2 linked regions of the Caenorhabditis elegans genome follow. The protein of the gene in region 1 interacts with the protein of each later gene in a pairwise test. Each region holds a gene or a part of one and is shown on either strand. Other genes may lie near its edges.

What was found.
Region 2: the proteins of pro-1 (region 1) and nfm-1 interact in a two-hybrid assay, tested with the Caenorhabditis elegans proteins (one large-scale study listed by BioGRID).

The regions. Positions count from the first base shown.
Region 1 is NC_003280.10:10,532,797-10,548,113, forward strand, and holds pro-1 (Pre-rRNA-processing protein pro-1), read right to left. Parts: upstream 9,201-15,317; 5' UTR 9,190-9,200; coding exon 9,136-9,189; intron 8,713-9,135; coding exon 8,580-8,712; intron 8,531-8,579; coding exon 7,743-8,530; intron 7,368-7,742; coding exon 6,753-7,367; 3' UTR 6,642-6,752; downstream 1-6,641. Other genes in the region: NAB transcription cofactor mab-10, read left to right, coding at 1-277, 642-710; R166.2 (Cleft lip and palate transmembrane protein 1 homolog), read right to left, coding at 1,743-1,937, 2,242-3,282, 3,337-3,465, 4,231-4,368, 4,416-4,511, 4,565-4,699, 4,752-4,874; R166.3 (AMMECR1 domain-containing protein), read right to left, coding at 5,130-5,177, 5,698-5,967, 6,013-6,112, 6,164-6,238, 6,427-6,536; MAP kinase-interacting serine/threonine-protein kinase mnk-1, read right to left, coding at 11,561-11,605, 11,659-12,061, 12,112-12,345, 12,640-12,795, 12,842-13,529, 14,396-14,866. UniProt on the Caenorhabditis elegans protein: Component of the PELP1 complex involved in the nucleolar steps of 28S rRNA maturation and the subsequent nucleoplasmic transit of the pre-60S ribosomal subunit. Required for processing ITS2 sequences from rRNA intermediates during 26S rRNA maturation.
Region 2 is NC_003281.10:6,152,944-6,170,864, reverse strand, and holds nfm-1 (FERM domain-containing protein), read right to left. Parts: upstream 11,377-17,921; 5' UTR 10,987-11,376; coding exon 10,765-10,986; intron 10,635-10,764; coding exon 10,419-10,634; intron 10,073-10,418; coding exon 9,854-10,072; intron 9,778-9,853; coding exon 9,643-9,777; intron 9,596-9,642; coding exon 9,461-9,595; intron 9,386-9,460; coding exon 9,083-9,385; intron 9,040-9,082; coding exon 8,890-9,039; intron 8,789-8,889; coding exon 8,701-8,788; intron 8,229-8,700; coding exon 7,958-8,228; intron 7,847-7,957; coding exon 7,672-7,846; coding exon of another isoform or gene 7,660-7,671; exon of another isoform or gene 7,467-7,659; coding exon 7,251-7,466; 3' UTR 7,246-7,250; exon of another isoform or gene 7,239-7,245; intron 6,573-7,238; coding exon of another isoform or gene 6,522-6,572; 3' UTR 6,280-6,521; downstream 1-6,279. Other genes in the region: efk-1 (Eukaryotic elongation factor 2 kinase), read left to right, coding at 2,335-2,394, 2,481-3,557, 3,611-4,346, 4,401-4,424, 4,570-4,714, 5,312-5,576; F42A10.9 (Gamma-glutamylcyclotransferase family protein), read right to left, coding at 73-212, 2,176-2,274, 5,966-6,062, 6,122-6,213; anmt-2 (Nicotinamide N-methyltransferase), read left to right, coding at 13,137-13,258, 13,947-14,433, 15,020-15,097, 15,625-15,762; rotr-1 (Nbl1_Borealin_N domain-containing protein), read right to left, coding at 16,132-16,281, 16,331-16,459, 16,573-16,761, 17,048-17,179, 17,245-17,353.

The sequences.
Region 1 (15,317 bases):
AGTTTTGACACTTCATGAGACAACTGTAAATGAAGCAGCTGCTCAGCTATGTCTTCTCGTTCCGTCTCTTTTGACACGACGGGATGAGCTGTTTCCGTTGGCTCGACAAATTGTCAAAGATGCTGGATATAACTATGCAAAAAGTAGAAAACGACCATGTGATCCAGCTGATTTGCATAGTCCGATAAGCTCGCCGGGCAACTCTCCGCCCCCTCAAGAATCGGAATTCGATGAACAACCGTCCAGTTCTTCAGGTGCTTTTAAGGAGGAAGAAAGGGTAGGCACATTTAAATTGTTCGTTACTTTTAATGCAAAAATACCGTACCTGGTCTCGACACGAATTAAAAATGAAAAAATTTAAATCAAAAATGCTGTGCGCCTTTAAAGAGTACGTACAGTAGTCTTCCCACCTTGCAGCTTTTCAATTTTCTTCGATTTTTTCCCGTTTTTTCATTTTTGTGAACGATATGCAAAATGTAGTAAAAGAGAAAAAATGTGAAAAAGTAGCAATACAACACGGTTACTGTAATTTTAAAGACGCATACCCTTTTTTCTTCAAATTATTTCAGTCATGTCGAGACCAAAAACCATAAAACTTTGCATTTGAACAATAACATTTTTTGATTATCGATTTTTTTCAGCCACCAATTCCACCGGAAGCATGGGCGGCGATAATCGAAAAAATGAAGGGTGAGCTCCCGGAATCTTGAAGCTCGGATTTCCATATTTTTTGTTTTCCTCGTGATCTTTGCAACACCTCCCGCTGGTCGGTTTCCTGTGATTCTCATTAGTTTTCGAAAATTCTCTCATTCTAAACACGCTCTATTGTACCCCACAAGGCGGGAATTTGAATTTAAATTTAAATTCCCGCCCCCTTCGCTCGGAGTCATATAATTTCCTTCTCTTCCTATCACTTTTTTGTCTAGTTTTCAAAAAACCCCCCATTTTTCCGGCGGTTTTTCAAAAACCAATGCCAAGCTCTCATATAATGGGAGTCTAAACACAGTTCGGTTCCAAAACCAACGCCCACGGCCCCGCCCCCAATTAGATAATTTAAATATAATTTTTTTTTCCATTTTCCAATTTTTTAAAAATATTTAATATGTTTGTCTTGCTCTATTGAGAAAGAAATTTGAATTCAAAACTGAAAAACTTCAATTTCGCATCCAATGCATTGCAAGTTGATTGCTTTTATAAATTTTTGGGTCTCGAAGCGAAAAGCCCATAGGATTTTCACAAAAATTTTGCATTTAATGCAGTGAAAATTCAAAAAATTCAAAGATTTTTCTGAATAGATCAAATTTTCAAATTTTCCGGTCATTCGAAATGGCCTAATTTGCTCCAAAAATTTGAATAATCCCGTCATTTTTTCTTTGAATAGTAAAAAAAAGATTTTCTAAAAATTGCCTAAATGTTTGCCACACTTTCAGTCCATTTTATTCACAGATTTTTACAACTCTACTAGTCTCCTCCACCCATCACCACTTTCTCCCCAAAAATGTTTACATGGTTCTTATGCACTTGAATTGTAACTATTTTTTCTAATAAAGAAAAGTTTATAACAAATAAATTAAAGAATTCAAAGAGAACAGGAAATATATAATTGAGAAGTTCAGGGGATTTAAATCTCACTAACGACTGGAAACAAAAAGTAGATGGGGAGATGGACGACAAGTAAATCGGAAGACATGATTCCCGTAACAATAGTTTTGCTTTAATATATTAAAAAAATCAAGTAAATTCTACTTTGTCTTTTTATCTTCTTTTGCATGCTCTGAATTTGGTTCTGATTCATGCTCGGGCTCCTGGGAAGGTTCAGAAGATCCTTCTACGGCCGGCGTCGGCGCCGGTGCTCCAGTTTCCTTCTCGAGGCTTGTGCCGAACTCGTTCAGTCGAGTTGGATCAATGCGATACGCCCAGCGTTGGTAGAGGTAGATCTGGAAATTTTAATATTATTTTTTAATTAAAGTTATTTTGGTATTATGGGGACGCAGAAAAATGAGATTTTTGAAATCGATGTGCACGCGCGCTCCACAGCAATAGATTAGTTGGTAATTTGGCAGCAAATCCGTGAATTCAAACGTTTTCAATTAGTTTCACCGATTTTCAAGAATTTTTCGTTCTTTTTGGCGAAATTGTGGTTTTGAAATAAAATTCCAAACGAGACCCAATACTTTGGGGAGGAGCGTTTTTAAAAGTGCAATTTTCTGCGTCCTCATAATCTATTCGACATTTTCTCACCAGGAAAATGATATCATCTCTGAAGCAACCAATTCTGTAGAGCAACGGCATCCGGATCACAAACGCGAACAAATCATCAATAAACGTATTGATGAATTTGTAAGTGAGCATACGCCACGGCAGATGAGCCACTGATTTGAGCTTGTAGTTAATGAACAGCTGAGGTGTCATGGTAATGAATCCGAACGTGAGCAAGAATCCATAGAGCATATTGAGTACCCAGGAGTACCATCCTTTTTGCTCAACGTAGATTACAGAATAGATGGCATATCCGACAAGAAGTGGGAAAAGTGCCCATCCGAGGTATTTGAATGCCATTTGATCGTAGATCTTCGTCTCACTCTCTACATATGATCCTTTATCACTGATAACCAAACGTGGAATCACTCCGAACCATTTGTTCTGCCAGTCGATGGATACATTCATCACCTTCGGAATCTTCCAGCATTCAATGAGCAAACCAATTCCAACTGTAACTTTCACCATTGTATTTGTCTCATTATCACAAATATAAAGGAAAACAATCAGTGATTGGAAGATGTTGAAAAGCACAGATCGAACTGATAATCCGACGAGATCTTTTCGATTATTCCAAAATTGAATGTCATTCTTGAAAGCCAAAAACTCGAATACGGTATGTAGAAGTGAAACAATCATAGTAACTGCCAAAAGGATTGGATTAGTCTCTAGAAGTGCTTGTTTCATAGAATCATGGCCATCATCATCCATATCTGCACCATCCATAGATAACATTGATTGCCATTGAGACTGCATCCGCTGACTTGCGTACATTTGATATTTGAACACTGACATTGGATAGTAGGTAATTGTCAAGTTAAGATCTTTGACAGTTTCATTGATCGGTTGATAATCTGCTCCGAGATTCCACCAATTGTTATAGAATAAAATAGGCTTGTAGATGGTTCCGTCTTCATTAAATTCAATATCTTCACTAAGTGGTGGTGGAATTTGGCCACGAGCCCATGGAGTTTGATCAACGACTAAAGAGATTGAGATGTTTGGATGCCAGTGATTGAGAACCTGCAAAAATTGACAATAATTCCAAAATTTTCGATATTTGTTTAGATTTTTCACCTCATATTTCATAATCTGAGCTTTGGCAAGATCCTCATCACTCTGCTCACTCTCACCAGTCAACAAGTTTGAAGTTTTTCGATAATACTTCTTCTTGTACTTGTTCAGCTGATATGATTTATAGATGATCTGAAATATATATTTTTGAAATTTATTTTAATCTTGAACTAATCTTCTTTTTCTTCTTGATAATGTTGGTTTTTAAATTTTTCACAAAAAAAATTGTGTTTTTAGATTTTCCAAAGAATCGAAAATTGGTTTTTTTTTTCGAATTTTCGATATTCTAAAAAAAATTTAAAAATTTCAATAATTTCCGGTAATTTCTCTACTTTCCAAACATTTTTTTCCAAAAAATTCCCAAAACAAACAGAGACTGTTTGAGTTAAAAATTCCAAATTTTCAATAATTTCTATGTTTAAAAAAAATTATTTTTTCACATAAAATTCAACATATTTTTGAAAAATCTATAGAATCCTCGTGTCGGGTTTTCAAAACAATCGGAAAATCCAAAAATTTCAATGTTTTTTTTGTATTTTTTCGAATTTTCGTTTTTTGAGAAAAAAAACAATTTTTTCAAAAATTTCCGGCTAGTTTTTCTTTTTTTTTAACTGAAAGTCTACCTACATATTTTCCACAAAAAAAGTTTACAGTTTTTTTTATGTTTAATTTTTTTTAATATTTAATGATTTTTTCGGTTTCCAGTTTTTGGAAACGAATTCAAAAATTAATTGTTATATTTTTTACATAAAAATTAGCATATTTTTGATAAATCTATACAATTCTCGTACAATTTTTTTAATTAATCTAAATAATTTTTTTTTTCCAAATTTTCCAGTTTTATGTTGAATTTTTAAATTTTAGATTTAAAAAAATGAAAAATTTTAGTTTTTTTACCTGATTCTTGAAATAATTCCGATCCTTGGGATTCGGTGATTGGCCAGCTTTAACGATGAACGTGTGAAGCCAGAGGGAATCATTACGGAGCAATGCAGCAGGAGTTGGGAAGTTTTTGTGAATTGTGTGACTGCCGTCCTAGAAAATACGAAGTTAAATTAATTAAATCTAGAGAATTATCAAACTTCATTATCACCACTAATCCAATCATCATACTTCATTCCATTTCGCATCCAAATCAACTTTTCTGGTGCTGAATCGAATTGTCTGAATGGGAGATCCTGAAATTGTTGGAAATTCCGATATTTTCAACTTTTTCTCCAAGTCAACTAACACTATCATCCATGTAAACGTATAAATCAAAAATCTGATGATTTGGGAACATATTCATCGCTTTATTTCCATTTCCAGCAGTAGATGCTGTCACATTTCCATCATTTCCAGGCGACGACGATGGCCGGAAGAATCCCTTCAATTTTTTTGAATTCATTTTTCAAATTAAGATGTCCAGATCAACTTACAGAAACCATGGAAACTACGAAATAAATGGTGATTGCTTGCTTGATCATTCCCCAAATTCCGCCACCTTGCTGTGGTTCCGGAGCTGCTTCGGGAGCAGCTGCTGGTGCAACTGCGTCGGCCATTCTGTGAAGATTATGAGAGTGGTTAGAAAGTGGAAAAGTTGCAAAAGCAAAAAGTGGTGAAAATAAATTGAAAAGATAGTGGTTAGTGCGGTTAGAAACACTTAAATATTTTTTCCAAACGGATTTCAAAAAAATAGAAATTTATTAGATTATTTTAGATATTTTTACAGAATTTTCAGTTATTATACAGTTATTTCAATCATAATACAGAATATTTTACAGGAATTTGAAAGAAAAATACATAGAAAGAGATCATTAACGTGGTAGTGGCAGTCCGTGCGATTGTTTGTAGTTTACATAATCCTGAAAATTAGAGAAATTGTATATAAAAAATATTTTGAATTATTTCGGACAATTTGTGCATTTAATTTTTGATAGAAAACACGAATAATCATGAGAAAAATCGAAAAATTGCATAAAATCCAGAAAAAATTAATTTACTCATTATCCGAGAGGAGTACATGGCCGATAATTATTTCTCGGCCGTGTACTCCTCTCGGGCAATTAATGAATTAATTTTTTTGGATTTTAGGCAATTTTTCGTGTTTTCTCATGATTTTGCTTGATTTTTCGAATTTTTTTGTTTTCGAACAAATATAACATTGCGTTTTACATTAAATAGCAGACCAATAACGCTTTAAAACCGTCATAACTTCTGTTATTTTGATGAAAACTATCGAAAATACGAAAATATGTTTAAATTTTTTAATTTCTAATAGAAAAACACAAATACTATCATGAGGAAATGCAAAATCGCTTAAAATCCAGAACAATTAATTAATTAATTGACCGAGAGGAGTACACGCCGGATAATTATATTCACCTTATAATCCAGAACAAGTTTGGAGCTTTGGAAGCGAACAATTCGAAGTGCTGACCGAAGAGCATCATTAATATGTCCTCCGTATCCACTTTTTCTTATTAAATGATCAATTGTCTCCACATGATTCCATCCTTGTTCTTGAGCTACTTCCGGCAAGAAAACGGCACTCCGATTGCGATGACCATCGTCGAAATTCATTCGAACTCCATGACGACCGATTGTCCAGTCACGAAAATTATGAATTGGCTCGAAGTTTATTAGAAGAGAAACCTACAAACTTTCATTTAAATGCAATTTAAAAGTGAAAATACTCACTCCGCACTGCAAACTTGGAACTTCTTCCCGGCTAATTGGCTTGAATCGTGAATCATGGAAAGCGCTGGTCTTCGCATATTCGTTTAACCCCTCACCCAATCTGTAATAAATTGGATTGTTGAATAATGTTTTAAATAGTGAAAAACTCTACCTTAAATCAGAGAAAGTTCCAATGCATCCGCGTAAATCGTGTTGATGTCCCTTCTTCCATGTGACAAATAGTGGTCTGGAAAAAACGAATTTTTATTTGAGAATTGATTAAACTTCGATTTTTGATTCGTACTATTTAGAGGTGGTCGGTCGGCAATTATTTTCTGCAGTTCTCATTTGTTTTATCAGAAATTAATGTTAAAATATAGAAATTAACTTGATTCATTAACGAAATAACGGGGATTTTTCTGAAATCTTGCTTACAATTTTACATTAGGGATCTCTTTTGGCACGGGAGGTTCCTTCTCTCGATTCAATTGGGCGTTGATGACGTCAAAGCAGTAAACTGCCATTTGGATGTTAGCGGACGTCATCTGGAAGTATATTTGAAAATTTTTAAATATAAATTAAATTTATAAAAATATTTTTCAGGAATTCAACGGACCAATTGACCGATTATTGATATTTGAAAATAGGTTAATTTTGAAGTTTCTTTAATCAATATTAAAACAAAAACAACAGAAAAAGATCAACAGCAACACCAATAACAATGTAACAAATAGGGAAAAGCAAGAATAAAATTAAAAAATCTATTTTTCGCTATCAACAATCTCCTTGGCAACAAATTCGTACATTTGTTTATTGATTTCCTTGAGCTTCTCATTTTCAGCTTTCAAAGCATCAAATTTCTTCTGAAGCGAGGAATTGACTTCTTCTTCGTCATCAATAACAATCGGTTCTACTTGTTTCTTCTCAATAACTGCTGCTTCAAAATCATTTTTCTTTTGATTCTTCCTATTCTTTTTATTCTTTTTTCCACTTTTTCTTCTCTGATTTCCAACTTCTGGTGCATCATCTTCATCATCTCCAAGAGTAATGATATTTTTAATTGTATTTTCTGCTGCTTTTTCTGCTTTTGCAGCTTCATTTCTAGCAGGTCCTTCGGCGTCCCATTGTAATTGTGCAGATGATTTGCTTCCAGATTCCAACAAAAGTTGATCAATAGTTTCTTCAATGACGTCATTCCAATGCTTCTGATCAGAGTTAAATTCAGTGGATACTTCAATTGCGAAACGATCGCATTTTGTAGGTTCTCGTTTCAAATCCCAAACTGGACGAAATTTGGCGACGTGTTCTCCTCCGCTGATCGTTTTCCAGAATGGAATGAAACGGAGGGTATTGATTACTGAGCGCATTGTTGATACCTGGAACAAATTAATTTTACGGGGTTTTTATGCACAAAATTATAGAATAAAATCTCAATAAACATCAGGGACAATTATTTTCAGCAATCCTGCAAAATGGTCTATGCACCATGTTCTTCCAACATTTTTCATTAAAAATGGGTGTCAAAATATAGAAAATCACTTGATTAAAAAATAAATTTCAGTGAAAAAATTCGAGAAAGTGTCCATAAATTGTCTAAAATTTGCAAATAGCTTTAAAATTTTCAGCACTTTTCCGAATTTTTCCGCTTAAAAAGCTGTTATTTTCAGATAAATCAAGTGGTTTTCTATATTTTGACACTAATTTTCAATTAAAAAAAAACATATTACTTCTTTTTTTTTATTTACACAAACCTTGAGACATTGATGACTACTTATTTCCCAAATACAATATTTTCCAGAAGCATCACCGGACGCCAAAAGTGTTCCATCTGTATTGATAGCTAGCCTTGAAATCTCATCAGAATGTCCATTGAGAACTCGGAATTTCGTGTTATGCTCGTCACCAGCTTGAACTAGGAGATCACGTTCTTCGGGTGCCAACTGGAATAAATTGATTTGAGCAATATTTCCAACTTCAGTTCCGATAAAAATTCGAGTCTCGGCGGGATCGATGGCGCAGGCTGTTAACGGGCGGTCTGACGATGCTTTCAGAATTACTGAATCCATAGAAATTGAATGAAGACATGCAATATGGTCGGCTCCAGCTGATAAAACTCGTGGATTCGATCCATTTGTGATTTTGAGATCAGAAATTGACAAAGTATGAGAAGCCCATTTTCTGAATGGAGCAACTGTGTGATCACGATCGGCAGATACAAGATCAGTAACAAGATAACCGTGTACAGCTCCGTCTTTTGAAGCAGTAAAAATCATGGAATCGTCATCGGATATTACAATTTTCGTGATATTTTGATAGTGCGCATCGATCACTGATAGCAATTCTCCAGTAGACAGAAGCCAGCAATAAAGTTGTCTTTTGATGCTCATGAACACAAAATGACCGGAATTATCACTGACGATTGCGGAAACCGGGCCAGGAAGAACACATTTTTGATGAAATCTATCTTTTGGGTGTACAGCAAGTACGTGGACGAGTGGTCGCTCCTTTGTTGTAATCACGACGTGTTCACCGTCATGACCTGAAAATTAAATCAATTTTCTAATTTAGCGAGACTAAATTAATTTTACCCAGCGGTTCAACAAGTCCAGTTGATGCTCCTTGTAATTCTGATCCCTTATAACTCCATGACGAAACACCGGTTCTCGGATCAATAATAATTGTAGAATGTGGATCAGGACTGCCACTGCTCACCAGAAGCATCTGAAATTGTTAATTTACAATTTTTATTGATTTTCACTCGCTCACAAGGGTGTCAATGTCCCGTAAAAATTACAAAAATGGGAAAACGGGAATTCCCGTTCCCGTGAAAATTTTAAAAACGGGAAAACGGGAATTCCCGTTCCCGTGAAAATTTTAAAAACGGGAAAACGGGAATTCCCGTTCCCGTGAAAATTTTAAAAACGGGAATTCCCGTTCCCGTGAAAATTTTAAAAACGGGAATTCCCGTTCCCGTGAAAATTTTAAAAACGGGAATTCCCGTTCCCGTGAAAATTTTAAAAACGGGAATTCCCGTTCCCGTGAAAATTTTAAAAACGGGAATTCCCGTTCCCGTGAAAACACCCCAAAAACGGGACAACGGGAAAAACGGGAAACGGGAATTGACACCCTTGCTCGCTAACAAACCTCCAGTGGCTGTGTGCCCGCAATGCGGCTTGTATCGACACCCAGATAAGCCATACCAAAAGTAGCTGAAATATAGAAAAACTTTAGATTTTATAACAAAAGTTATTTAAAAGTTTTAAAAGGGGAGAAAAAGAAAAAAATGATGAGAAAAAAAGCTTGGACAACTTGCGCGTAGAATTTGGCGCCTAGTCCGCAGTCTAAGTCATCGGTGTTTGCAGACGTAGGATTTACGAGACAAAAAAAACATGTTTTTAATCGAAGTTTTCGATTTAATAAGAAATATCAAATTTTCACTAGAATTTTATATTTTTGATCGGTTTACATTATTTTTTTGTACACACATGAGGCGTAGCTTGCGATTCCACAACTTTTTACTCATAAAATTTGAAAAAACGGCTAATTTCCGTTTCGTGAAAGGTAGCAGATAAAATCAATAGTATCAAACTCTTATATGCATTGTATGTTCTTTTCATGTGATGTAAAAAATCATTTAAATATATTATTCACAGTTTATTCTCCATTCGAAACCATTATCATTCTTTCCGAACTTCGTGAAGCATTTCTATAAAAAATAAATATAACATTAGAATTTCAGAGCAGAACAGAAGAAAGGGATATTAATTTACTACAAGAGAGAAAGTGGGAGACAAAGAAAATAAGTTATGAAGAAGAAAGGACAGGAAGAACGTGGGGGAAAATGGTATCGAGAAGAGATAGAGCGTGAACTCCATATAAAAATTAAAGTGATTTCGGGATTCCGTTAATTAAGAAAAATTTTGTTGGGAAATTTGGGAGAAGAAGGAAACCAAAACCAGGCCCGTGTGTGTGTATTCTCCAGCAACGAGATAGGCGGGGAAGGATTTTTGTGACAAACCGGAAAAATCGAAAAAAGTTAGCTTTCACCAACATTTTCGACATTTTCAGCACAAGAGATCGTACAACAATTGAGTGGGACGGTTGGGGGTACACGGGCTTCTTTCTGTGGGGTTCTCGGGAGTTAAGTCAAGCTAGATGTTTTGCAAGACTGGTTTGGGATGGGTTTGGCTATTCCAAACCGTGATGAAGACAAACTACAAAAACTACTTCATTTTTTTGGGGTTTTTTCCTAATCTTATTCTGAGTATTCTGAGCCTAGAGGGCCTAATATGACAGACAAAACCATGATTTTAAAGGTGACTTCTGAATGGTAAACCAAAGTTTAGCCGTCAATTCTACTAAACGAAAAGAAACTGGGGGCCGATGTTGGAATTAGGCGTTAGAAACTAAAAGCAAAATGTACAACAAATGGAGGAGAATCAGAGAAAAAGTTGGGAGACTGGATGTCAAACACGCTTTGCAAACGATCCTCGGGATGGATGGAAGGTAATAAAAGGAGAACTGCCGAGAGAAAAATCTCCTACAGTACTCTTTTCACAAATCAACAATTTTCCGACTAAAAGGCGGGTATGTACACCGATAGGGAGCAGTGCTCGGAGAGCTCTCGACTTTCAGAATTGAAAACTTTTTCAGGAATTTCAGGATCTGAGAATCAAAAGAGCTCAACTAGTCACTGGGAAACTCGACATTATCTCTGATTTTGTACACGTGTTTTACAGGTCTTAGAGGGTGGGGAGTATGTGGAAAAAGGGTGCAACGTGGTTGCAAGAAAAATTTTCAGCAGTGGCAACTAGAAAAATCTTGAAAACTGCTGAAAATCTAATGTGAATGATTGTCAGATCTTAGAAAAAAGTATGTGGTGATGATGTTACAGGGGATTCGGGAGTAGGCAAAGAAGATGATAAAAAGATGATAAATACAAAAAAAATAACAGAAATTGATGTCAATGCAAAGAATAAAAAACTCTTCAGATCAACAACAAATCGGGTCAACAATGAGTGGATGGGAAAACAGCGTATTTCCAGCATTCTGTTTAAATTTGGGGATCTCGTAGTAACAACAACACCAGCAATGCATTTTAGAGTTGAGGGGGCGGATGGGCATTTGTACACGCAAATTAGGTCGCAGTTGGTCACAAATTCAGCGCATTTCCAGCACGAAAATGTGATCAACCCCGTACTGTACACGTTTCTAAGTCAAAGAGTAAAAATGAAAAAGAAAACAAGAAGAGATGGTGCAGATCAACGCTTGCTATTTACAATGTAGAGCAATTGATGGTGGATTGGTGGTTTTCAAAAATGTTGAAAATAAAAAACTAATACTAAAATCTAGATGATTTTTTCCAACATTTTCGAACACACAAAACGAAATATTCGTGTGAAATGAGAACAAGAGTGCATTTGATTGCAAGAGAAATAAAATGACAAAACTACATACAAGGGGATTTTTAAAAACAGAAAAAAAAAGTGGCGATCTTAGATAGAGTTCGAGAGGTTTGGTGAGAGGTTGTGTGTTAAATGAGAAGGAGGAGCAACGACGAAGATTTGGTTTAGACGTTGACCTGAGTCTCGATGCGATGGATGGGATTCGCATTCTGAAATTAAAATAGTTTAGTTCAAAATTATTACAGATTCTGACGAAACAAACCTCCTGCTCGTCCTCAAACGACTTCAATGATGCGTCGTCTTCGGTGGTGTGACGAGGCGTCATTTGAACTGAAGTAAGCAATGCTCCAGTACCGAACAGTTGAATAGATGGCATATCGACAAACACCATTGGTGGAGAACAGATCGAATCGTCTCCGTTTGATGATGCTGGAGAGAAGAGCGAAAAGGTTCCCGAATCGTCGGCAGATCTTCTTTTGACCGGTGAATCAGTAAGATCTTCGCTCAAATTGAGCATCGATGGAGGTGGAGTTGTAGGAGAAGCACGACTGATTGGCGGTGTGAACTCTCCACTTCGTGATTTTTCGATGGCAATTCCAACAGATTTCTTTCGTGGGAAAGTGCCAAAAGGTTCGCCACCCATGGATAGGAAGGATCCGTCACCACTGAAAAGAATTTTAAATTAGAACTAAAGATTTAAAAATAATAAACTAACTGAATAGTAGCAGTTCCCAAGTCACTTCCACACTCGCTCATCGTCATTTTATTGTCGAATCTCGCCGAAAGACGAGTGTCCGCAAGTCGGTTCATCAGATTAAAGTGCTCGGACATTTGTTGAACATCACGTGCCGAATCCTTGCGGTTAATGAGATTGGATGGAGTTTGGAGAATCGTAGAAGCGGCGGATTGTTGGAGCCAGCGATGAGAGAGAATTTGATCAGCGTTGAATCTTTAAAAAAATTAGAAATTAAGTATTTTATTTCTGAGTAAAATTAAAAAATTTATAAAATGTTTCAAGTCTCACAATCTCCGCGTCCTCTAAAGACAGCGAAGTATTAGTAATCATCAAATTTACTTTCTCCTCCATTTCCAGGCTCCACAGTCAATGAACAAACTGAGTGCAGGATAAGAAGGAATTGAACCAACGATTGGTTGAGTGGGAATAGCGCACGCAACCGACTGCGCCACAAGTGTCAATCGAATTCGATTGGCAAAGGGGTTAACAAAAGAGACGGTTACTAACCTGTCCACTGGATCACGTTTGAGCAGATTCGAGACCAAATCCTTGGCCTCCTCGGAGATCATACCCCACTCTTCTTCTGGAAACTCGTAGTAACCATCTTGGATGCGATGAAACAAGTCTTGTTGGCAGTCCTCGCATGGTTTACCCTCGGACCACCTGGAAAAGCGAATTTCAAGATAAACATGAAAAAATAAATACTTACCCGCAATCCTCATCATCACACATTCCTTGGAATGGAGCATATCCAGCCAACATGATGTAGAGGATTACTCCTAAACTCCATGTATCACACTTCTTGTCGTACTTCAGAGAATCTCCAACATAAGCGTCGACGACTTCCGGAGCCATAAACTCGGCCGATCCAACTGGAGAAGCAAGATCGGGTTCCGAAGCCACCTGGCTCAACGGATGACGTTCGTGTTGTGGTGGACGTTGACTCGCCAAATCGAGATCGCAAAGTTTGACGGGCGACACGTGGTTCGGATCAGTGCACAGCACATTCTCCGGTTTAACGTCACGATGAGCTATTCCACGATCGTGCATAAACTTCAGAGCCAACGAAATGTCCTTGGTGACACGACGAGCCTCCTCCTCGGTGAAATATTTACGTTGAAGAATGTGCTGAAGGAGTGGCCCACCGCGCATCTTCTCCATAACCAGATAGAAGTTGGTCTCATCCTCAAACCAGTCAAGAAGTTGAACAATATTCGGATGATCCTTGCACGTCTTGAAGATGTTCACCTCGCGGAGGATACGCTTTCGAGAATGCGTTTCTCCTTGCTTATCAACAATCTTCACAGCATACTCGACACCTGACTTGATCGACTTGCACGTGGTCACCGATCCGTAGGCTCCGGAGCCCAAGTGCTCATCCGTTAACTTGTAGTAGTCTGAAATTTTTGACATTTTAATAAATTAGTTGAGAATTTTTCAAAGCCAGATATTTTTAGTTACTAAGTTAACCTAAATTACCTTCAATACGTCTCCTGATTCTTCTAATGCGCGGAATTCCCCTATTGAATTTACCACCGATTGCCATTTTCTAATACTACGTTGATTAATTTGATGCAAAGTGTTGCAAAATGAGGAAATATAAGTTTTGGAAAACGTGAAATGATGCAAAAACAATTTGCATCATTAGCATCATTTCTAAGAATTTTCTAGAATTTTCCAGAAACTTCGAAAAAGTTCGAAAAATAAATAATTTCTATTTCTCCTATTTCTCATTTCCGTTTCAATGAACCGTCTTATTAGGCCCGTAAAACGACGGCTACCGTACCTTCAAAAAGACTAGTTCATTCACATTTTGGTTTGGTTCCGTTCATTGCTTCAACGTCAATTATATGTCTTTCTTCGTTTGTCCCCCCGTCTCTATACACCGCCAAAACAACTACCACTAAAATGTAAAACTAAATACCCCCCACCACCACCATTACTGTGTAGTAGTAAATCAATCAAATGTCTAATCTACGTGCCGTCATCTCACATTCATCAATTTGCTTCCGGTATCAAATTTTCACATGAGAATCACTAGAAAGCATCGTCTAATTGTGATGAATATCAACTAAAATTAGGATCAAAATAATTTTCATTTTTCTCTCTCTCTATCTAGAAGAACCAAACCAATACAGATGTTTTTGGCAAGAGGGGACATCCGTTGCTTAGTCAAAACCAAATCAAGCTGTTCAAACAAACAAGCAGGAATTGAATAAGACGGTATCTCTAACAGTCGTAGGAAAACAAACAAAACCCTCACCAAAGAATCCACACTTGGACGAGTTCTTCCTTCCCGGGGTTCGCGGCACCCGACGAGTTCCTCCCCCGAGCGGCAACAACTCAGCCACCGGCTCCTCTTCATCAAAGTAATCTTCGTCGGTCTCATCTTCTCCATAGCCGTCTTCTCTTCTCATCACCACATCCTCGTCATCCATCTCAAACTCTCCGAACACGTGGTCGGTGTCACGTCCGACGTAACGCGGAATCGGTCGGCCGGATGATTCGTCAGACGACGACAACACATCCTCATCTTCGTACGTCTCGCGTTCACGTTGACGGTGTCGACGCAAGTTTGCCATCATCTTGCCGCCACCGGCGCCAATTTCGATACCACCACGTGGCGACGTCGCCTCCTCGTCGTCGTAGAACTCGGAGGTGGCCACGTGTCGTGGAGTAGCAGCAGAAGTGTGCAGATGGTGGAAAGCAGCACCGCCGCCGCCGACGGCCGAATCTGCAAAAAAATAAATAGATTGTATGTTTTGTGTACAGTTTTTGTATTTGTGCATGGCTGCTACAAAAAAAGATAAATAAAAATAAATCCTATTTGGATGGACAACAGATTTAATATTTCATAGATTAACATTTTCACATAGATGATTTGAAAATATTTTTAGCATCGCTTCCCACATCCATTTTACTCACAACCTCCCTCCGCTCATCACATATGGATTCAACAAGAGGTGAGGGCAATGGCAATTCCGGAGATTACGGAGTATATGTCACAAGACCAGTCAGCCGGGTGGGCGACGGGTGGTCTTATGGTGCATCGGTGGGAGACTATCTGCTGATGCAAACCCGCTGTCTCTCTCTCTCTCTCTCTCTCTCTCTCTATTCGTGACAAACAATAAACAGAAAAAGTAGGAGGTGGCTGTGTTGCGGTGAATATTTAAATTTTGAATGTG
Region 2 (17,921 bases), on another chromosome or scaffold:
AATCACTGGAATTTGTTTTTCAAAGAAATATTTAATTTAACTCTAGTTTTAAAAGGCACATTTTTCTCTTACCTGTCCACATAAGGTCTACCATGAGCTCCGAGGCTTGAGTAGTTGGTCATCATTTCGGATGACGTGGAAAGTAGATCTGGGCGCCAGCTTTTCAGCAGATAGATAAACGCAGTCTCAGTAGTGCCAGACGGAAGTTTGATCTGAAATTTTCATGTTTTTGAATGAGAAATTCCCCATTTTCAGATATGTTTTGTAAGTTGGTATTGTTATGATTCAACAATGAAAAATAAAACAAACGGTCGAAGACGTTTACATTTTTTTTTGAAAATTTCGTGTCTACTTTCTACAGTAACCCGCGCTGTCTGAATGAGCTCATTCATATTATCTATTCCATAAATATCCTAAATCAATAATTATAGGTTCCTTCATATACACTTTATTTTAACTTCCTCTATATTTTTCAGCCAAAAAAAACACCAAGTGGTCCCAACCATTCATCCATCCAAGTCAAATGTGCACACCCATCTCTTTTCGGTTTACACTCTGTCTGTTTCTCTAAATCTCTCATTCTTCATCATTGTCTCTCCTTCTTCTCCTTTCTCCATTCTTCTGGGTGCCTCTAGGCCTTTCTCGATTTTCCATTTCTTCACGTAGTTTTCTCCCAGTTTTTCCGTCGGTCTTTTTTCAACTTCAGAGAGTCTACTGATTCCTGTTTCTATTTTAAAGTGCTAGTGATAAATGTCTGAGAGATATTGGTCACATTTGACCTATTACATTCGGCTCGGTCAGATTGAAGTTTCAAGGAAATCAGAATATTTCATTTTTATATTCCAAGAATCTACTCAACCAGATGATTTATTATGTTCATTAAAAATAATAGGATTGGTTTCTCATTGATATATTATTCACCATCTGCCCTTTTTATCAAATCACAAAAAATCATTTTTATCTTTAATGTCTAACTGTAAGTACAAAAACGTGCAAAACTGAAAAACTTAAAATTGAAAGTAATTTTCGATTTTTTGTTCTTTTGATTTTTTAATCTTTGATCTTGAAAATTTTCCTCGACGTTTCTCGAATGTTCCTTCAAAAAATATTACCCATTATAATTTATGAGCTTTTTTCTTTCTCTATTTATTCCTATCGGGCCCGATATCGGGGAGGATTTTAGATTTTTTAAAAAATAATTTTATAGAACTTTTGAAGATACCTCTAAATGCCTACAATACTTACAAAATATGAAATAGTTTTTGTTTCTTTTCAAAATGCATAATCTCATTTATAAAAATGATTTATAAAACACAATTTACGGACTTTAATCCAAAATCGTATGTTTTCCATTGAAAAAGATAATATCTTCCGAATCTGGTTCTCGATCCTCGTAATTCTCTATTTACCCAACTCTTCTCTACACACAAATCACTGGATTATAGACTAAAAACCTAAAAATGCTCGAAATAGAAAACTTCTGCAGTTTGAATCTTAAAATTGTTCTAAAAGTGAATACGAATTTCATAAATCTCAATTATCAATTATCAGAAACAAATATTCAGAAAATAATTGGAAAACCTTTAATAATTTTCAATTATTACTTCTAATGGTCGTTTCAGAATGTTATTTTTAAAAATCGATTTCTTTTCACTGAGATCAAATTTACTTTTGGATCCATTTTTTACGAATGCATAATAAACATATTGTTATTACATCCAAAAATTTCCATAAAAAGCTCTCAGCTGACCAGCACGTGACGCATCTCGATGGAACAGAAATCAAACTGTTTATATGTTTGTTTGCTTCTCTTTTCTCTATCATCTGCTTTCAAGTATTCTTTCATTCGACACGTTCTCCCCCCGTTGTCGCTTTAATTCATGCTCGTTTTTTGTTGGGTGTGATTAGATGAGTAGTGTCTGGGCCTGACATAGAAAACAAGACCTTTGACTTGCCTTGAGTTCTGATACGATACCTGGTCTCAACGCGACCAAAAAATTTCAGCGCAAACAAGAGAGTGCGCCTTTAAAAAGTACGGTAGTTCTCCACGTCCAGTTTTTCCCAATTTCATAGATTTTACACTTTAAATCTTTTTCGCAACTAGGTAATATCGTTTTTTAAGAATAAAAACATCTACAGTAGGAAATCAAACAGAACCTTTTTTATCTGACTTACCTCAACTTTCTTTCTATCGTACAATGTTGGGTAGGCTTCCAACTCATCGAGCACCTTCAATTTCTTCTCGCAAACTTCATACATTTCTCCTTCAATGTTCTGAAAAAATTTGGATTAATTATTTACAAAATAGTTGTTTCAGTAGTCAAACTGGGCAAAATGACGATCGACACAACAAATGAGAGCGACAATAGTCCAACTAACTCACCAGGATTGGAGGTGGGATTTTTGAAAACAATTCTTTAACAAAATTAAATTTATTTAATTAAAATTCAATTAAACAAACTACAATTTTTACTTTCAAGGCCTCGGCTCGGACATTCTCGCTCAATGCGTCAAAAATGGTTCGGATAACCGACGACTACGCAGATGAAGTGTTCATTGAACAGAATGATGTCGTTATCGAGAAGCCTCGTATGGATCCTCTCCACGTTAGAAAACTTATGGAGACATGGCGCAAGGCTGCTCGCCGAGCAAGAACAAACTATATAGATCCATGGGATGAGTTCAACATCCACGAGTATCCAGTACAACGAGCTAAACGATATAGGTATTCTGCAATCAGAAAGCAATGGACAGAGGATATAGTCGATGTGAGACTTCATCCGGACAGTTTTGCACGTGGAGCCATGCGAGAATGCTACCGACTCAAAAAGTGCTCCAAGCACGGAACAAGTCAAGATTGGAGCAGCAACTATGTCGCAAAAAGATACATTTGTCAAGTCGATCGTAGAGTTCTTTTCGATGATGTCAGACTTCAGATGGATGCCAAATTATGGGCTGAAGAATATAATCGGTATAATCCACCGAAGAAAATTGATATTGTTCAAATGTGTGTCATTGAGATGATTGATGTAAAAGGTTCTCCACTCTATCATTTGGAGCATTTCATCGAGGGAAAATATATAAAATACAATTCAAACTCAGGATTTGTATCAAATGCAGCTCGTCTTACACCACAAGCATTTTCTCACTTCACCTTCGAACGTTCTGGTCATCAAATGATGGTTGTCGATATTCAAGGAGTTGGTGATCTTTACACAGATCCTCAGATTCATACAGTTGTGGGAACTGATTATGGAGATGGAAACCTCGGAACTCGTGGAATGGCTCTTTTCTTCCATTCACACAGATGTAACGATATTTGTGAGACAATGGATCTATCAAATTTCGAACTTTCGCCACCTGAAATCGAGGCTACCGAAGTTGCGATGGAAGTAGCTGCAAAGCAGAAAAAGTCATGCATAGTTCCTCCAACTGTGTTCGAAGCAAGAAGAAATCGAATTTCAAGTGAATGTGTACATGTCGAGCATGGTATTTCGATGGATCAATTGAGAAAAAGGAAGACGTTGAATCAATCGTCAACCGATTTGTCAGCAAAGGTGAAAGAAACATTTAAAAAAGTTCTAACGTATTCTATTTTTATATTTTTCAGAGTCACAACGAAGACTGTGTATGTCCTGAGTGTATTCCAGTTGTTGAGCAACTCTGTGAGCCTTGCTCCGAAGATGAAGAGGACGAAGAAGAAGACTATCCAAGAAGTGAAAAAAGTGGAAATAGTCAGAAAAGTCGACGTAGTAGAATGAGCATTTCAACGAGATCTTCTGGCGATGAATCAGCATCTCGTCCTAGAAAATGCGGATTTGTAGATTTAAACTCACTTCGTCAGAGACATGATAGCTTCAGAAGTTCTGTTGGGACATATTCTATGAATAGTTCTAGACAAACCAGAGACACTGAAAAGGATGAATTCTGGAAGGTTCTTCGAAAACAATCAGTTCCAGCAAACATTCTATCACTTCAACTTCAACAAATGGCTGCTAACCTGGAAAATGATGAAGACGTACCACAAGTCACCGGGCATCAGTTCTCTGTCCTCGGTCAGATTCATATTGATCTCTCACGATATCATGAGCTCGGGCGGTTCGTAGAAGTTGATTCAGAACATAAGGAAATGCTTGAGGGAAGTGAAAATGACGCTCGTGTACCAATCAAATACGACAAGCAGTCTGCAATTTTCCATTTGGATATCGCTCGGAAGTGTGGAATCCTTGAGGCTGTGCTAACATCGGCTCATATTGTTCTCGGATTACCACATGAATTGTTGAAAGAAGTCACCGTTGATGATCTGTTTCCTAATGGGTTTGGAGAACAGGAAAATGGAATTCGAGGTGAGCTTTTTTTGTTAATTTTTCTCTTTTAAATCTGAAATTCCAACTTTTCAGCTGATAAAGGACAAAAACCTTGTGGTAAGAATCAAGTTTTCTCGTGTGTGCTTTTTAAAAATTATTTTGTGATTTCCCAATTTAACCTTTCGTGTTGTTTCCTTTTTTGAAAGATTCAATCCTAGTGTTCTCAGCATCCCGTATTTTATCAAAATTCAAAAATTTTCAGACCTAGAAGAGTTCGGCTCCGATCTGATGGAAATTGCTGCAGAGATGGGTGATAAGGGTGCAATGCTGTACATGGCACACGCTTATGAAACTGGTCAGCATCTCGGACCGAATCGAAGAACGGATTATAAGAAATCGATTGATTGGTAAGAAATTTATGAGATTCTAGTGAAGATACAGTAACCCGACTTTATAGAGAATACTTTTAAGAAACCTAAAAAAGCTAAAATGTTTGATGCTATAGCTTCTAATTTTTTTTAATTGAAAATTTTTTCGAATAGCCGGAAAATTGAAAATCGAAAAAAAAGATTTAGAATGTAATTAACAGATTTGAAATTTCATCAAACTTTGTTTGTTTCGATGGAAATTTTTTTTCTTCTAAATAAAAATTTCAATTTACGAAAAAAAAAATCAAAAAACGAAGATTTTCGATTTTTTGAAATTTGAATTTTTGAACATTTAGGAAATTTGGAAATTGAAATTGAAATTTTTTAATCGAAAATTTTTTAAAATTCGAATAGAAGTACCCGTCTCTGATTCATTTTTTATAAGAAAAATTGTGAAAAACCAGAAAAACTAGGAACCTTCAAAAAATATGTTCAGAAAAAACTAAATCTACTTGTTGTATTTTTCAAAAAGAAAATCATATATGACCTATTTGCGATTTTTATTCTGGACTTCTTGGATGATTTTGTTCCTTAACATTTTTTCTATAAACTTGAGAAATATTCTAAATTTTGTAGGTATCAACGCGTCGTTGGATTCCAAGAAGAAGAAGAACTTGACTCTGATTGTGGAAAAACGACATTCTCCTCATTTGCTCCACTGACTCGTCACGAGATTCTAGCCAAAATGGCTGAAATGTACAAAGAGGGAGGTTATGGCCTGAATCAAGACTTCGAACGAGCATATGGTCTATTCAATGAAGCTGCTGAAGCAGCAATGGAAGCAATGAATGGAAAGCTCGCAAATAAATACTATGAAAAAGCGGAAATGTGTGGAGAATGATTCTTGAATTCCCCTTTCTTCAATCCTCAATGTATATCCTTTTTTCTGGTATAATGTACATTATTGTTTGTTTTTTTTTTCATATTAGTTAGTATCCCCATCCCCTACAATTTTTAGTTTCCCCCTGTCACAGTCCCCGGATTCAAGGAAAGAAAAAAATTTCAAAGATTTTGAATACCAAAAAAATTTCGGATCTAAACAAGTTTTTGGCATTTATACTCCCTTTAAACCGTGCGCATAATCATTTTTCTGTTTCTTTCTTTAAAATTTCCTTATTCATCTTTGTTTCCCTGCCAAAGCTGATTCCGTTCTCGTTCTTTTTTTTTAATTACTTGTCAATATGCTTCAAAGTACGTCGGTTTAAATAAACTTCAGGTTGTAAAACTCACATTTCCATTCCCAGCATCATCAAGCAAAAATGGAATGTTATATTTGGTTCCAACTACCAATGGGAACTTTTCCACTGTAGTTCCAGATGAGATGAATCTGAAAGAAGTAATGCATCACATTTGACACTCAAAATTCTTCAGTACTCCCGAACTTACCGATATTCTCCGTCAGTTTCTGACAGAACCTTGTAGTTTGGCTCTCCTGTTTTCAGGGTTCCATACACGAAAACCTTGAATTTTTCGCCCATTTTTGCTGGAAATGAATTAATAAATTACAGATTTTTTCATTATTTTAAGTTAATAAAAAAACATTTAAAAAAAATCTGTATTCATCAATCATTCGATATGTATATTTACACAATATGCCTTTCGGAAAAAAGAAGAAAAATACGCGTTTTTGTCTTGCCACGAAAGATTATTGATTGAAAAATGGCAAAAGGGTGTGGAAAAATCAATAAACTGAATGAGCACAAAATGGGGTTATCTCTTATCGGGATGGGGAAAAACTGAAGAAAAAAAAGGAAAATCGGTTCATAAATGGCCATAAAGTTTCTTATCACATTCCATCAAAAGCTTGTGCTCGTTGTCGTGGAGTTCCTCGCATACTCTGAAATTATAAGAAAATTATAATTGGAAAATGAGAAGAATAATCAATCAATACCACACTAATGTTCATTTCAAAATTTGAAAAATCACAACAAAATACACCGACGGACAGGTTTGTGAAATTCAAAGATATAGTTTCACTAAAAAATGTGTGATTTTTTGAATCAATTAATAAAATTAATAAAGTCTTAGCGCGAGCGAAACTTTTCAGATACCGTACCCTGGGTTTTGCTTTTTCTTGTTTCTTTCTATTTTTAAAAATTTTTCGAGTTTTTGTTGTGAAAATCTTATTTTCCCTGAATAGGTTTACTACAAAAACATAAAAACTCAAGAAAAAGAATTTCCAAATAAACGATGGAACGTCTACTATTGGATACTGTAGCGGAAAAAATAATCTCGTGTCAGTACCCGACGTAACGATTGCGCTCTAAGAAATATTTTTCGCGCTGCGTTCATTGTTGCGATTCCTGATTTTTAAATTTTAAGTCAAAAAAAAACAATTACAGTGTGCATATTATTGAATTTATTCATAGAGCGCTTGAACCATGAATGTTTATTTTCAACTCTAACAAAAATACCAATCAACAAGTGTTAGAAAACAATAATTGGAAAATTAGTCAATATGCAAACACGCTCTACCACACAACAATCAAACTCTGGCACTATTTTCTCACTATATTCAAATGTCAGCTTCCTGCCATTCAGTGTTTCCCAAATCATAAGACTGCTGTCTATGCAGCATCATGACGTGGCTCAGAATACTTGACGAGCTCGTAGTGGATACTGTAGAGACACGTGGAATCCCTCGTCCCGCCACATGTCTAGCGACAGTATTGAGCTCCAAGGAATCGGAGGAACCCGATGAGCCAATTGAGCTTGCGCTTTTTGATTTTTTCTGGAGATATTCCGAAGTTAAGCGTCAAACTTACAAATGCCAAACGCGCGAAATTTTAATAAATTAGAAGCTTAACATATAATAGAATAGGATGAAAAAGAGATTTAATAACTTTTTGAACTTTTGACCTTCTGATCATGAGATCAGCTTAGTAACCGTTCAGAACGGTAGCATGCTAACAGAACTTGCTAAATTATCTACTTACCATTCTCATCGTCGTGAACTTATCAAAACCGTGTGCCACATTTTGTGCATGAACCGCATCATGCTCTCGATGCTGCCCATTTTGTACATTACCGTCTCGTTTCAGGCCGTCAATATCGCCACGTAATTCTTCCAGGTGCTCCTTGAAGATTCGCGCTCGTGTTTCGTATTCTGACCTGAAAAAATTTCTAATGTCACATACTATTCTCTATTAGGATTGTACCTCCATTGCTCAACTCTGCTAGCATATAATTCAGTTATCCTTTTTTTTTAATTACCAAACTAACCTTGATTTTTCCAACTCCATCAGAGTAGTCTGTTGCTCGAAAATCTGACTAATTGAAGGATCGGGTGGTGGAATAATCATACCAGATCCTCCGTAATATGGCGGTTGATTCTGATTTTGAACTTGAGTTTGTTGTTGATGAGCTTGAGTATTTTGAGACATTTGTTGTGGTTGTTGATGAGAAAGTGGTTGATTTGAAGGAATTGGGGAGGAAAATGCAGATGATGGCATATTCAGACTTCGAGACATCATTTGTTGAGGATGAGTGTGTGCTGAAAATGTTGTTTCCGTATAAATATAATCATATTTTTCTTATTTCTTATTTCTAACAAGACGTGGATTGGTCAAAAACAGTAGCAACTTGGCTTGCGATTTCATTCCCAAATTGGCATTACAAACAATAAATTAGTTTACAACTAGACACATTCTCATTTGAAGATCTTGAATTTATAATATCATTACCAAAATATTTTTTAGTGTTCTCTTTTTTGAGGCAACTTTGCAAATACCTGGCTGTGAGAAAATGTTGAAGTTACATAATCAAAAAAAAATTCGATAAACTGATTAGGGGGTCGGTTTTTATTATGTGATCTAGACTTTTTTGACTCGGCAAACTTTTATTCTTAACTTTTAAACATAGTTTTACGCCCATTGCCAAAATTATCATGCAAAAGTTGCTATAGATATTATACTTCTATACTATTTTGGAATAGACTTTTTTATTGTGCCTTTAAAAAAACTAACTGTCAAGTGATTGCAGTTGATGAAATGATCCTGTTGATGGCATACCAGGATGACCTGATTGATGACCAGATACTTGTTGATGCCAATTCTGAAAGTTTCTAAACCGTATTAATCGAGTATATCCTCTATCAATCCCATTACGGTTTTGTCAAGATTTACTCAAAATGGGAAGATTTTCCATTAACTTACCGGATCAATAATCAACGCAGACTGACTCGAATACTGTGTCATTTTCCGATTCGCGTCAAGGCTTACATCTGCTAGTGACATTGACATCTGCTTTGCCAAAATCTCAGCTTCCCGAGCTTTTCGTTCCATTCTCAACAGAGCTTCTTCGGACTGAAAATTAAACTTTAATTTCATAATTAATTTGATTTTTTACCTTCATATTATTCATACTTAATCGATTACATTCAGCTTCAACTTCACTTTTTTGCTTGTACAACATCAAAGTTTCATGTTCACTGTGTCGTGCCTTCTCTGCTAATTGATCATTCGCTTCTTCTGCCTTTCGTATATTTTCTTGAGCTTTCATTAATTCCAAAGTCATCACTTCAACTTTTTGTTTCATTTCCTTATATTCTTTTTCCATTTGCTGCCTCTCTTTTCGTTCCAATGCAACTTTTGCTTGTTCTGCTGCTCGACGTTGCTTGTCTTCTTTTGCTTGTGATCTCATTTGTTGAACCTGAAATATACAGTTATCATTTCGTAGAAAACTGAATAGAAATTTTCAAGTTGCCCTACTATAAAAGACACATACCTCTAACGTGTCTGGCTGCCTCCTCCTTAAATACAAATTGTGTGTTCCAATGCAAAGATCCAATATTGAAGAATCAATTGATGTCTCTCGTGATCGAAATGATATTGTGGATTTGTCGACGGTTTTCATGTGAAACTGAACGTACAATGGAAATCGTGAAAAGAAAATTTTAAAAAAATTACCTTTCGATTCTTAAATTGAATATTCTTAATCTCACTCCAACTAAAAAACGGCCGAGGTGTTATTCGATTCACTCCCTTATAGATTCCCAACCCTTGAGCGGATATACCAAGATGTAAGTCAGTTTCTTTGTTATTCTGAAAATAAATAAAATTATGTATCTCAAATTCAAATGTCCACAACCGTTCAAACAGAATCTCTCAAATAACTTACACAAATAGGATAATATAATATTCCATACATCTCCAAATCCTGTGCAACTCTCAAATACTCAAGTTCAGCTTCTTCTCTTGATTGTCCTGCATTCCGTGACCACCATCGTTTTATTCGATCTCTCCACATATCAGCACTCATATCATATTGATCAATCACACTTTTTGGTAAATGCTTGTCAAGATCAATTGGACCAACTTCTTCTGTACAGTCGCCATGCTGAAAATTAATTCGTTTTTACTAGATTTTGAATAAAGTGTATATAGATAGTTTTTCAGAAACATTTTCAGGCACTTGAAAATGTTTTGCCAATTTTTCTGGAAGAAAATGGGATTTTCAAATACTCTTCAAATATCCTTTCTGAAAATTTTAGATTTTCAAAATTTTACAGCAAAAGTTTTGGTAAATTTCGATATTGTAATTCTCAATTTTTCAGAAATATATTAAAAATTTTATGAGTGATTTTAAACACTTTCTCAACTGACGATCTTTTAAAAGTTCAATAAAGGAATTTAAATGGCATTTTCATATTTTGTAAAACCCAGTTAAAATACAAAAATCTTACCATTGCTTGAACTGCAAAACTGGCCAATAAAACACTTGCTTCAGGTGAACAATATAGATTCATTGAAAGTATTGCTTCTCGTATTTGTAAAAAGAACAAATGTCTAGTGGCATCTAGAATAATCTCAGGTTCCACGTCTTCTGGATAGAATTTGACAAGAAATAAGAAATTAAAAGTTCCATCAGATGTGTCTTTTTGGATGTCTTGGCCACAGATCTGGAAAATTTCAAAAATTAATTATTTTCAGAGAAATTATTTTTCCCAAAATATTTTAATTTGATAATTAGAATTTGGTTTTATTGTTGGAAATACCGTATCCCCAAAAATGTATTCAACAAAAACTCACAGTTTTATCATTCTGTAACCAACATGGAATATTCTTTTTATTTGTGAACTGTAGTCCAAAATACCAAGTTTCCCGTAATCCAATAATTCGACAAACTGCTTCAAATAAATGTCTTCCTGTCCATGTTTTCTCAATTACAATCTTCTCCAAATCAGCATCCATTGTGCTCACTTTTGCGTAAATGGGCTTCGTGTTTCGCGAAAATATCGAAAATCCACCCATTGCTATTTTTTGGAATTTTTGTAGGTGAAATTAGCCTGGAAGTTTAAGAAAAAAATAATACTAGCAACTATTATTCATTTCTGAAAAAAGACCGTTGTCTGCACATGAACGTATTGCACGTATTTTCTTTCCGTCAAGTAAGAACAACATCCAAAAATTCAGATACTAAAATTGCTTTTTTAGTTTCTTTGAAAATAAAAATTTCAGATAGTTTCAGTTTGAGGCAATTAGAAAATAACGTGGATTCCAATATTTCCGTTTAAAACTTCGGAAAGTTAGAAAAGTTCTATAGTCTCCGAAGTACTGAATTGGTTTCTCTAGGGTGAAAAATCAATAATGAGATGAAGCCCATCTTAAAAAAAGTATGTTAAATAGTTAAGAAAAGTGAAGAAAATCAATGTAAGTACGCCCCAGGGCAAATAGTGTTGTAACTGTATAGGTATCTGCGTCGAGGAACTCTATGCCAACTGTCTGTCTCACAAGAAGTGTTAGAACATATGAGAGGAAGGAGAGGCATTGGAACTAACAACAAGAGAAGATGATTGGAAGAGAGGACGAAACAATATTTCAACACTCATAATGATGATAGGTATGGAATCCCAGGTGCATTCATTGAAGAATAACTGATAAAAATATTGAAGAACAATGATTCAATGCCCCCAACTGATATGACGCATTGTGAAAATATGTGGCCTGGTCTCGTGTGAACAAGAATTTTCAGTTTTTCGATAAATAAAATAATGTCAACACGCCCTTTCCTCCTCCATCGTTTTTCTCCAAATGGTTTCGATACAAAAGTTACATCGACTGACGAGATTCAAAAAGATTCGCAGTCAGCAGGATTCGAACCTACGCGGACAGAGCCCATTTGATTTCGAGTCAAACTCCTTAACCACTCGGACATTCTTAACCACTCGGACATGACTGCACGTTTTGGTTTATTATCAAGTATATTTTCATTTTGTACAATTTCGAAGTTACAACGAAAAAAATGTGCGAAAAAATTGAAAAAAATTTAACGCAGTCAGCAGGATTCGAACCTACGCGGGCAGAGCCCAATTGATTTCTAGTCAATCTCCTTAACCACTCGGACATGACTGCACGACGAACCACAACTTTCGTGGCCTAGACATGCCGGGTGTTACGCATAATAGGAGGAGGGGATGGGGAGAAGTGGTCAATGGGGGGAGATGAAAGGGGGAATAGGGACAGTATAGAAAAATTCACACAATCGGTATTTTTCGATTGACTTATTATTATATTTTCAAAAGAGACATCAGTGTGAAGTGGGGCGCACTTGTGTAAGCAAAATGGCCAACAAAAATTCGAAAACTTCAGTAACTTTTCGATTAACCTCCCTATTCCTTTGAAGTCATATAATTTTCGAATGAAGTTTAAGTACATTTTTTCCATATTGAAAATTCAAAAATTCCAGAAAGATGAAATCCAGAAAAATGTTTCGAAAGTACAGTGTACTGATAGTGAGCTACAGTACAATTTTCGTAAGTACGCTCGATGGAACCTACTTTCCCTTAAATTTACAGTAACGCATTAAAGTTCTGCAAAGTTTCATAACCAATCTGCCAAAAAACTTCCTCATAACATAATTTGTTGTTTCCCATCTTTCCACTTTGCTCTTCGTACTCTGTGCCTGCTCCCACTGTCTGGCTCCCAACACTTCCTGCCGGGAGCCTCGGGAAATCCCTTCTTCCCTCTCTCTCTCTCTATCCTTCTCTCCCAGAGCTCCGAAAAAATAGGCGGAGCCAGAGCACACACTTATGCTCTCGCTCTCTGTGCAAGAGCCACCTCACTCAATTTTTGTGCTACTTCGAGAGTGTCGATGCCTCATTTGTTAATTGTTTGTTATTTGATGATGATAATGAATTGTTGTATCGATATTTAATTGCACTCTGCGTGGGTGTTATCACTTAAATATTAGAGTTTTTCTGGAAAAAAGGAGTAAACTTAAGAATTTTGGAGATTTTGAGGGAAAAACAAACATGTGAAAAGCGGAAGAAAATAGAGATATACATAGACTTTTAAAAGTGCTTTGTTTCCTTGTTATATTTCTGATTTTTTTTTTCAAAAATTTGGACTCAAAAAAATTAAAATATTTTCAGTGTCGTTTAATCTCTTATTTATACCTCGTCATGTCTACTCTCATCGACCCTACCATTACGGAATCATCGGATGCCCAGCATACTGTACTTTTGCCTGAGGACTACGTCAAGAAGTTCGATCCTGATGAGTATTTGCAGTTTTATTTCAGCAGGTTAGTCAGAAATCTTTGATATGTCGCAACGACCGTTCGATGTAACCCATGAGATGTCGGCCTCCCACCAATGAACACTTTCTGAGCCCCTTATCATGTAGGCTGCTTCAACAAACATGTCAAGCTACCATTTTCCAGAAATTGGTTATGAAACCCGTAAAATGTCGGTTGCCGCAATTTTTTAATGTTTTGAATCCAGTATTATGTCGGTTGTTATAATCTTGCGCGCGAGGTTGCCGCCACAAAACTTGGAAGAAACATTTTTCATAAATAACGGGCTTCAATTTCTAGAACTTTCGATCCCGATTTGCACTTTCTATCCGCTCTCGATACCGTTCACTTCATTTTTGACACAAAAACGAGTGGTTTGTTCACAAACAAAACCTCTTATCCCCGGCTTGCTTTGGCTTTGCTCCTGTTGCTGCTGCACACGAAATCGGTCGCAGATCGGTTACCTTTTTCTCTTTTTGAGTAGGAGAGGATCTTTTGTGTCAAGAGATCGAAAAAACTGAGAAAAGAGGAGGGAGGCATCATTGGCTCTTAGACTCTAAACTTTTGAAAATGAGACGACACATTTTTGGGTGCTATCAAGTCAAGTACCTGTCTGACAAGGAACGAACAATCCAAGGGAGAGAGTATAAACATCAGACATTCCATATATATCCAAAATTTCATTTCTCATTTCCAGAGATGCTATTGAAGATGGAACCCGTGTTTCCCTATTCGCACTTCCTGTCTTCGCCCAACTTATGCTCCAAACTATGCGACCTTCTGAACGTGAAACTCTTCTGGATATTGGAGCAGGACCAACCGTCTATTCGGCTCTTTGTTTCCGTGATGTGGCAAAGCGTGTTCACTTATCAGATTTTGTCGATCGGAACCTTGACGTTCTGAGAAAATGGATCCGCCACGAGGAGACTATTGACTGGGTGCCAACTATCAAAGTGATCAACCGAACGGAAGGAGGTCCCACTCCAACAGATCAAGTATGCATTGATGTTGAAGAAAAAGCCCGCGGATTGGTCAAGTCTGGTGGAATTCATTTCGCAGATGTTCACCAGATGGATGTGGTCCCTGAATTGGCTGGGAAGAAGGTGGATATCCTGGTGTCGATCTTCACGTTAGAAAGTGCTTGTCGCAACTATGAAGAGTATTGTAAATGTGTCACTAATATGGTAAGTCTAAATGGATTTTTGCGGTTTAGGCTTAGGCTTAAGCATATCGTTCGTTTTAGGAGCTTGATTATGCCATTAAGGTTATTTTACACGTCTCTTCTAAAATAGTTTCTGAAATCCCAGTACTGAAGATAGATCTTGGTTCACATTTCTTTTTCTCCATTTCTAAGTTCAAAACACGAATTTCTTTCGAATAGAGAACAATAAAATTGTAAACTACAGTAAACTACTAGCTCAAAGAGTTATTGTAAGTGTAATTCGATCTATTTTATTCTCCAGTAACAACTTCGTCATAACTTTCTTTTCATATTCCTATATCTCTTCACAATCAGTGTTCACTTCCCCTTTACACCCGTTCTCTATTTCTCTGTCTATCTTATATCCAATTTTCACGGTGCCAACGAAGAAAATGAAAAAAAAAAGAGTTTAGAAACAGATGTCTTTCATCTTTTCCAAGATGTAAAGTGTGTCGTTTTTCGGAAAAAAAAGAAATGAGAATGAGCCAACGACTGAATGGCACCAGATTTGATAGTTTGAAATGAGAAAAAGTGAAATCAAAATGTGTTTTGATTTTGTGTGATTCCAGATGAGACATCTCCGTTCCGGCGGTCGTTTTGTGCTTGGTTCGGTGCTCGAGGACGATGAGTACAACTCGGGAAGAAAGGTAGGAAAGGGCCAATTGATCTGGTAATTTGATCTGTGCTCTTGCGATTTTAACGGGGTCAGTTTGTGTGATTGCGTCAATGATGCAGGTATATATGATAGCTAGAGAAGTTTTATTGGTTTTAGGCGATGGGAATGAGGATTGAAGGATACAAATTCAGACTTGTGATAGAACATATCTTTTTGAAACAGTGCTAGTATTTTTTTTTTCTGAAATATTAGACGTTTAAGCGATACATTAACTTCGAAAACGGAGCAGTGGGGCCGCAAGACTAACATGTTACTGTACTTAAAATTAAAGGAAAAACCGATAAACCGTTTTCTCGAGGATGTTTCTTGTTTTTCTTTTTACTTCCTCTTACTTTTACCCGCTCTTAGCATATTTCCAAACTTTGTACAAAATTTAAAAAAAAAACATATGATTGTTTTTTCGCGCGGCGAGACCCAACTGTATAAATAGACCTGCATTAAAATTCGTAGCCAAAATACTCGTATGTATATGCCAACAAAAAAAATCAAAATTTACAGACAATCTTCCATCTCCTCAATCTCAGTGAACAGATGATTCTTGATGCTCTTGTATCTGTTGGTCTTGATGTTGCCAATGCAAAGAAATACGTTTTGGACGGAGAAGGTGTCATGTTCATAATGGCTACGAAGCTCTAAACTTGTTGTTTAATTAGATTCCCCACTCGATCATTTGTCAGTATTGATGAAGTCACTAGGCGTATATCAACAAAAAAGTACTGTACTCGGCTTTAGGTCTCTTTCACTTCTTTTTTTAATTGTGCACTATATTCTTTTCATATGTTTCGCTTTTTAATTGTAAAATGGTCAGAATTCATCCGTCCTCTGCATGTTGTATTTCGAGCTTACTGGTTTGCTTAATATTGATATAATAATAATAATAAATCTGTAGAAATTGAGAACTGAATTAAAAGTGGAGCATCAGTAGAAAAACGTTTGAAATCATCCAAAACCGAGGTAAGTGCTTAAATATAATAAAAGTGTGTTTCATATTCATCAATTTCAATTTCAAACTTTCTGAGTTCCATCATCGCTGGGCGGAGAACGATCGAGTCCCAACAATAGATCATCTCGATTTGGAGATGCAGGAGATCTAGAAGAAGGACGTGGCTTTTTGGAAAATGAAACATCTGATTCTTCTGATTCTTCACGACGACGCTATAAAAATTTCATTTAGTTATATTTTTTGATGGAATATTTAGATTACCGCTTTCAGTAAAACCCTTTTCACTTCATGAGCTGAGTTTCCAAGTTCTAGCAAATTGAACGCCGATGATATCATTTTCAGATTGGGTGGTGCGTACATTGAGATGTAGTTGCAAAATTGATTCAGGATCTCAAAAATATTTTTTAGGAACAATTAATCCAGAGAATCTGAATTAGGTGCCTTCAACCAAATCCAAAGAATACATACACTCTCGTTTCTCTGCAGTAACCGTTATTCCTCACCTGTGTCAATGTATGAAGCCTGTTAATCTCTTGAACGTCATTCTTGAATTTTTCAAACATTTCCAGCAACTGCTTCACTTCATCGTAACTAAATCCAATTTGCATTAGATCAAACTGTCGTTCCGCAGGAAATCTCATCAACTCCTCTTCGGACGCTAGTGGAGCCAGCATTTCAATGTGATTCTTCCGCTTAAATTATTTATTGAAAATTAAAAGATTTGATAATTAAACCAGTATAACATCGACGTAGGCATATAATACCTTCCTTGTGCCTACCTACTGCTACACTACAAGACCTACTTATTTGTTATTATCTCAGTTGGTTTACATCTAAAGGTTTACATCTACATCTAAAGTTATCATCTAAAGTGGCCTCAAAATGCAGAAAATGTGTAATAGTCAGGTAGGTCAGGTAGACTTGTTATGATAATATGGGCACGGGCCTACCTACTACGACAATCTCATAAAAACTTACTGTGTGATTGTTCAATAAACTGCTAAGAGTTGTTGGGGTCACCACAAAATTTTGGCTCTCTGAAGTCGTTGAAAGAGAGCTCTGAGAATCGAATCCCGGTTGAAACGACAGAGGTGTGCTGGGCTCGAATTTCTGGAAAATTGCAATCTTACTATTAGTCAAAAATATTGGAAAATTGAATTTAAAAAATATCCTACATTTATATTTGATTTCAAACGATTTTTCAAAGATGCCCTTTGTATATCGGCTGCCCGACATATCCTATCAAAGAATAGCTCTTTGTGTGGTCCAAGCAATGTAGAGAGTCTTAAAATTACCAAGTTTATATAAGAATACCAAAAAAGTAAAAATAGATTGCCCCAAACCAGGATCGAACTGGTGACCTTACGATCTTCAGTCGTACGCTCTCCCAACTGCACAGGTAAAGCGCCAAGTGCGAGCGGCGGCCCACCGGTGGACCGCATATAGGCGAGGGGGGACCGCATATAGGCGAGGGGGGACCGCATATAGGCGAGGGGGGAACCGCCGACACACGAACAGCGCGCACACCGGTGGGCCGCCGTTCGCATGTTAGCGGCTCGCTAATGGGTGAGCGATGGGTGAGCGATGGGTGAAGGCTATCGTTTCCATTCCCCTCCTTTTGCTTTTCAGTGAAGAATAATATTCATAAAACGAGTATATTATAGTATTATCGTTTATTTTAAATCGAAAAAAAAACAAAATAATTTATTTCATCTTTTGATGATTTCGATGAATCGTCCTCTGGTGTCATCGGCAATTGACTCGTTTCCGCTTTTCTTCCTTTTGTCTTCCTCCAGTAAGCGATTTTATCGATCCATTTTCTGAAAAATTCAAATGATTAATTTTAAAGAAG